Linked DNA regions of Saccharomyces cerevisiae S288C. The gene in region 2 interacts genetically with the main gene of each other region. Each region holds a gene or a part of one and is shown on either strand. Other genes may lie near its edges. The genes, in order: PRP3 and YPR202W.

Evidence for each region.
Region 1: mutations in YPR202W (region 2) and PRP3 together harm fitness more than expected from each alone (negative genetic interaction), as found in Saccharomyces cerevisiae (one large-scale study listed by BioGRID).

The regions. Positions count from the first base shown.
Region 1 is NC_001136.10:1,403,945-1,407,968, forward strand, and holds PRP3 (U4/U6-U5 snRNP complex subunit PRP3), read right to left. Parts: upstream 1,911-4,024; coding exon 501-1,910; downstream 1-500. Other genes in the region: TRAPP subunit TRS31, read left to right, coding at 1-229; JIP4 (Jip4p), read right to left, coding at 3,520-4,024.
Region 2 is NC_001148.4:941,022-944,522, forward strand, and holds YPR202W (uncharacterized protein), read left to right. Parts: upstream 1-2,010; coding exon 2,011-2,029; intron 2,030-2,177; coding exon 2,178-2,875; downstream 2,876-3,501. Other genes in the region: ARR3 (Arr3p), read left to right, coding at 1-115; YPR203W (uncharacterized protein), read left to right, coding at 2,859-3,167.

The DNA.
Region 1 (4,024 bases), on a different chromosome or scaffold from region 2:
ATATATGATAGTAGATAACTTCCCCACTTTAACCCAATTTATCCCAGGTGAGAACGTTTCTTGTGAGTACTTCGTTTGCGGCATTATCAAAGGATTCCTTTTCAATGCTGGATTTCCATGTGGCGTGACAGCACATCGAATGCCCCAAGGCGGACATAGTCAACGAACCGTTTATTTGATCCAATTTGACAGGCAAGTGCTTGACAGGGAAGGTTTGAGATTTGGCTGATATCATCTCAAAACATCGGTAAATACCTAAAACCAAGAAAAGGATAAAGAGTTTGTATATTTACTGTTGATTTATAGACATATGCTCATATATTCATTACGAAGAATGATTCTTTTAATTGTCGATTTCCTTGAAGTACATCTATCATATAAAATCATTTTCTTTTTATATTTTGGAATGTTTTTGTGCTAAAAAAATCATTATTCTGGGCGACATACAGTAAAATAATATTTAATATGAAACAAAGCGTATCATTTTGTAGACACCGATATCACGTTTGAACAGGTGAATAAAAATGCTCTGAATCAAACTGACCCAGCGTACGTAATAAAGAATCCTGATCATTGCATACTTTCATAAACCAGCCTTTGAATTTACAATCTTGTAAATAGCCTTCCCAAGTTTTTGATATTGAATTATTATGCATGTCCATTTTTATATCCCCAGTGTTTGTGTGCAACTCAAAATCTTCATTCCATTTTATCCTCTTCATCACCAAATTCTCATAAAATTTGCATGATTTTTCGTTACCCACGACTATAATTATTCCTGGTCCGTCATCACGTATACGGAGGCATAAACCCTTTAGTGATAGTTCTTTACTATTCATTTTCAACTTGAATCTTATTTTTGGGTTCTGTAAGTTTTTGAACTGGAACACCTTACAATGGTATACTGTCGGCTTTTCAACGTTCATATTGACTGCTTCTTTCCTTCTTTTAATAGCATCTTCATGTCTTCTTTCGTTTTCTTCCAGATGTTTTCTCTTCCTGAGGTCCACTTGGTCTTTCACTACTTTTTCCCAGGCAGTTGGGTCCGTTATGTTTTGATCATTCTCGAAAACACTCATCATGTTGCTTAGTTTAACTTTCGGTTCAGGCTTAGGTAATAGTCCTAACTTAATTTTTATCTCCCGTGCTTCTCTTGCCATTTTCCTTCTATTTCTCCTTAATCTTTTCCTTTCATGTTGCGTTAGATATGCTTTGATTGATACTTTTGCCTCGTTGATCTTTTCAGGTAAGGGATGTGCTACATATCTTATAGATGGGTGCTCATCATCATCATCATCGTCTACTTCATCAATATCTTCTGCTAGCTTTTCTTCGGCAGGCGATGTGCCATTCATGTCATATTTTTCCATCAACTCACCCTTTTCATCTAAATAAGCCGTGTCCCACCATTCATAGCCATGATTATTATCATAGTATATCTTGAACTTTGACAAATCTAATAGGAACTTATCCTCATGTAACTCTAAATTGGGTAAATCACCTGACTCAATTAATTTTCTTTTATCTTTCTCGTCTTCTTCTTGTTTTAACTTTCTTTTTAATTCTTCCTCCTCCTGCTGTTTTTGTAATGTTCTTTCTTGGGCAATTCTTTTACTGATTTCTCCCTTTTGGTAAAACTTCAGACCCCGTTCATAACGCCTGTTAAATCTGCTCGATGAGCCTCGATCGTGTGGATCACTAAGATAGGGATTTTCACCAGTTTGATAAGTTCTTCGGATAAGATTCAAATTTGAAGACTTTAACGCTGAGTGAAGTTCGGTTTTCAGACCATGGCCCTGAAACTTCTCCTCATCATTGGTAGTTTCTTCACGCCGTAAGAAACTTGGCTTATAATATGGACTATTTTGGCGTTTCGGATTACCTTTTTCATAGGTATTTCTTGGGGGCATTTTTTCAAGCCAATTCAATAGATCGCCTGATGTTTTCTGTGAGTCTTTTTGATTGTTTTACGTCATCTGGCATTCTAATACTTTACTAGGACTATTTCTTGTTATTGATCAGTGCGGGATCCAGTCAGAAAAACGCAGATGTGAATAATATTAAAATTTGTATGCTAAAAAAATTAACATAGTCAAGAAACTTTCTTTGAGTCATGGCTCTTTACTTTAGAACATATAAGAACAATTCACAGTGCCTGTCCAGAGGCCAAAAGCAGTATCTCTAGCTAAATGGATATGTTAACTACTGTTTCATTGGAGAAGCAGTTTTTAACCTTCCTGTTTCGCGAATATAGCTGCCAAGTATTATCCAAAATTGGGGAGTGAAGAAAAAGTAATTATCAGCATTCATTTTCGAGAATTTTACCTAAACTTTTTCGATAACATTGATTGTTCACTACGTTACATAGCAAGCCAGAGCTAGAAAAACTTATTGATTACAATCAATAGACTTGCATCATACATAACTTCAGGGTACTTGCAAGAATTTTCCTACAAAAAAAGTTGACTACGACAACCTAAAGGAGAACAACAGATTTTGTCACCTCTCGTACTAGATAATTACCAAAAAAATGCTACCGAAAAGGAGATAAAACACATCTAGAACATAGTAGTATCATGTCATGGCTTTTTCAAATCTAAAATCTGTTCCCTGCAGTTGTCATTTTCTCTTAGTCGTCATTGATATTGTTAAAAAGTTCCGGAATACTATTGTTAGGTCGTATTCTTAAATGAATAAGCTGTCAAAAAATGGAGTAGTATGGCAGTAAATTTGGGAAGCACAAAAGAAAAAATAAAATTTCTTGATGAATGTGCCTTTCACGAATGTGACTTCTCTTCCATAAATCCTGTTTCTCATCAATGAGCAGCTTCTTCCTCCAAAGATAACTGTTGAACCCTATAATTGTGACAGGTCAAAGAAGCCAATATAATGAAAAAGATAGCCAGTATCTATATTTGAACCATTTTAAGGATTTCACTGAATTGCAACGATACTGTCTTGTTTCGTGGACCTTGCACTTCGTAGATTCATCATGTTCTATACGTTTTTCATTTCCGCATTCTAAACCCAAAAGACAAGGGTTACAGCGTATGTTACGACACAATTCAATTCACCATTCCTAAGAAGTTAATATTGCAATATTTTTGCAACAATAACAACCGCATTGCTTTGAAAGTAATTGCAATAACTATGGATAAAGATCCATTATCTTGACTGGTGCTACTTTCAAAGGAGGTATACCTAATAATATAAAGCTTTGAAAGAATTGACGTGATACTAACCTTGTACATTGATTCTCATTTTAACGATTTTACAAACTCACTTAGCACGCATTATTGCCGGAAATACGAATAGGAACCCAGCTTATAATGAACACTGTCCACATTTCTTTTAGGTGAGAATGCGATGATGGAATTGCAGCATTATTAATTACTAGTGTAGGGTATTGAATGTCATTTTTGTCGATTAATATGTACAATACATGTTATGCATAAAGGCACAAAGTCATAAAAATGTTATAGAATTATATCGAATAAACACATAAGAACGTAAGACCAACTACAGCCTTCCGAACCCAAACAATCCGCCACGCTTAGGCGTATTTTTACTCTCATCTTCCTTTCTGAAAGATGACGGGGATCTCGATTTACTCTTAAAAAAAGAGAATAAACCACCACCGCCTGAGCTTGGTTTCAAGTGTGCTGAAGTTACGACCGGTTTTTTAATACGTTTACCAGAGTTCGAATCATTAGATTTTACTTTTCTGAGCGAAGATGAGCTACTGACTTTCCTCAAAGATGAATCCTTATTACCAGAACTCACACTATATGACTTTGAAGGTGCCAAATGGGGAAGGCCTGGAACGGACAACTGATCTGTGTCACGATGATGGTGATGATGATGTTGTTGTTGCTGGTCCCCTGGGCTGTCTAGCGAGTGCCTAGATTTAATAGCACCCAGTGCAGCATTACCATCTACATTCTTGACACTCGACGCGAACTTGATTTGCGGAGAACGTGATCTCGACGCACTCGCACTTGAGTTTATATCGGTAGCAGTAGGA
Region 2 (3,501 bases):
CAAGCAAGCAATAGCTGCAACATTTGGGCCGTTGCTAGAAGTTCCAATTTTATTGATTTTGGCAATAGTCGCGAGGATCCTTAAACCATATTATATATGGAACAATAGAAATTAATTGTTGACTCACCAAAAAATTACTTGGGCACCAATGAATAATACCACTTATAACTCTATATTAATCCAAGTTCACCCTAAAAACAGATAAAATTGACAATTTTTTTTGAAGGACAACTGATTGATCTTAGTGATGGTTAGGATGAAAAAATGGGTTTGTTCACGCCATCCCGCATCATTCAAAAACTCCGCACAGTTTTGGAGTTCAGTAAGAAGGGGACGTAATCTTACTATTGCATTTTTGAAAGTCTAATGAACTCAAGTGGCAAACTGTGTTACGTACATCACTTCTAAATACAATGTCTTTGAATTAGAAACTCGCTGAAAAATTATTATTGCGTATTGTATGTCATTTTTGAGATTTTCCTGCAAGATTAGTAATGCTTTAAACCCAAGTATTGTAAGCCCGATGGAATAGCACATGGTGATGGTACAACAATGGCTTCATAGATCATTCGCATAAAAATGGAATTCGTGCATCTAGTGTCTAATTAAAATTAACGTAACGAAATAGGACAAGATAAGCTTATGTCGTAGTACCCGCATAAGTACGTGTAGCTGCCATTTTATAATGCATGAAGTTGAAGTCATTAGGATGAAGAGGTGACATATAATGTTTCAAAATGGTGCCAGTATAAGTTTGGGATATCATGGAGCGGCATTCGTTTTAGTAAATGACTGTATTGTATAGTACTGTCTGTATGATTATCAGTTGAGTTGGTGAGATGAAGTAAAGATATTATAGCATCTGCGTTAATGTGTATTGCTATTATAGTATAGCATAGTGGTGTTATATAGTGGCACCGGGAATGAGTATAGGGAGTAAGAAGATCTTGTAGTTGCGTTTGAATAGCGACATGAGGACACGTCTTATGTCGCCATTATTAGGCTGAAATTGCAAGCATAAACTATTCGATATCAAAGATACCACAAGACCATGTATGCATAATTATAGAATACCAAGGTGGGGAGAGATTAAAAACGCACCATAGCAGCTGCGCGAGTATATTCTGCTATTAAATTGGAATTCACTGAAAGGTGATGAGAATGCAAATAGCTATGATACCTTATAGTGGTTAATTTGTATGAAAACGTTATAAAGCATGAAGTTGAGAGTATTGATATGATAATGGAGGTTCTGTGATCAATTTTAGAAAATTAAAATGTGGATGATCATGAATGTTATGGGTAAATGGCACAAGTAATAGACAATTTAATGAATAGGGTGTTATGTTTACGATATTTCAATTATGTTAATATTTAGTATGTTTATATCTTCTCATTAATGAATGGTTAATTTTTATGTTTAGGTGATTTTGGTGGTGATTTTGTGGTTATATTGACATAAGTGTGTATAAATTGAGTGGTTAGTATATGGTGCAGTTATACAATATTTGGAACCGCAAAATGAGATGTAGATATTAAAATGTGGATAATCATGGGCTTTATGGGTGAATGGCACAGGGTATAGACCGCTGAGGCAAGTGCCGTGCATAATGATGTGAGTGCATCTAGTACTGATTTAGTGAGAATGGGGCCATGGTGTGGAATATGAAAGTAGGGTAAGTTTGAGATGGTATATACTGTAGCATCCGTGTGCGTATGACATATCAGTAGAAGTGAAGGTGAGTGTGGCAAGTGGCGGTGGTGGTAGTGGTGGTATAGAGTGGTAGGCTCCTTTACTTCGAAGCGTGAGGTCGTATACCTAATAAGGAAATGTAATTTATAACTTTTTATTATATTGGTCTTTTCGAGAGCGGAAGAAGTTGTAGGCTAAGCGCAGGCTAAGCGTAGGTCCATGTTTAAAGTATCCAAGAGAATATCCACGAAGCGGCTGAGCAACGAACAGAATCCTGGTTCTCCTCGACTAAGCAGATAGTTAAGATACTGTGCACCATGGAAATTGAAAACGAACGTACGTACCGACTACTTTATTTTTGCAGGCCGGAAATCAAGCGATGAATGAGACATCCTTCTGTTTTCTATGTTGTGCTTGAAGGGGACAGACAGTCGCTTATCTTAGTGAGATTGCTTACTAACTGAATTTACTTTGCTGCTGCTAGAGATTTGCACCTGCATAGCGCAGATTCTGCATCTTCTCAATAGCTTAATTATTACATTCTCAGATGATGATAAGACGGAAACTGGACAATCTTTTGTTTATATTGATGGATTTCTTGTCAAAAAGCATAACAATCAACATACTATTGTTAATTTCGAAACTTACAAAAATAAAATGAAAGTTTCCGATAGGCGTAAGTTTGAAAAAGCAAACTTTGACGAGTTTGAGTCGGCTCTAAATAACAAAAACGACTTGGTACATTGTCCCTCAATAACTTTATTTGAATCGATCCCCACGGAAGTGCGGTCATTCTACGAAGACGAAAAGTCTGGCCTAATCAAAGTGGTAAAATTCAGAACTGGTGCAATGGATAGGAAAAGGTCTTTTGAAAAAATTGTCATTTCCGTCATGGTCGGGAAAAATGTACAAAAGTTCCTGACATTTGTTGAAGACGAACCAGATTTCCAGGGCGGACCAATCCCTTCAAAGTATCTTATTCCCAAGAAAATCAACTTGATGGTCTACACGTTGTTTCAAGTGCATACTTTGAAATTCAATAGAAAGGATTACGATACCCTTTCTCTTTTTTACCTCAACAGAGGATACTATAATGAGTTGAGTTTTCCGTGTCCTGGAACGTTGTCACGAAATAGCGAGTGCCAGGCCGAACGACAGCTCTACGATGCGTACTTTCACTGACTTTGTTTCTGGCGCACCTATTGTAAGGAGTCTTCAGAAAAGCACCATAAGGAAATATGGGTACAATTTGGCACCCCACATGTTTTTGTTACTACACGTAGATGAGCTATCGATTTTTTCTGCATACCAAGCAAGTTTACCTGGCGAAAAGAAAGTCGACACAGAGCGGCTGAAGCGTGATCTATGCCCACGTAAACCCATTGAGATAAAGTACTTTTCACAGATATGTAACGATATGATGAACAAAAAGGACCGATTGGGTGATGTTTTGCATGTGTGCTGCCCAAGTTGAGAAGAGATACTAACAAAATGACCGCGGCTCTCAAAAATAATTGACGAGCTTACGGTGATACGCTTACCGTTATCCAGAGCTACAGCGCAACGTATACGTCGACGATACAACAAGAACGGTTCATCGGAGCCTCGACTAAAGACGCTTGACGGACTCACTTCCGAGCGCTGGATTCAATGGTTAGGCCTTGAAAGCGACTACCATTGTTCATTCTCTAGTACTCGGAATGCGGAAGACGTAGTGGCAGGTGAGGCGGCGAGTTCAGATCATCATCAAAAAATTTCAAGAGTAACGCGAAAAAGGCCCCGAGAGCCCAAGAGTACAAACGATATCC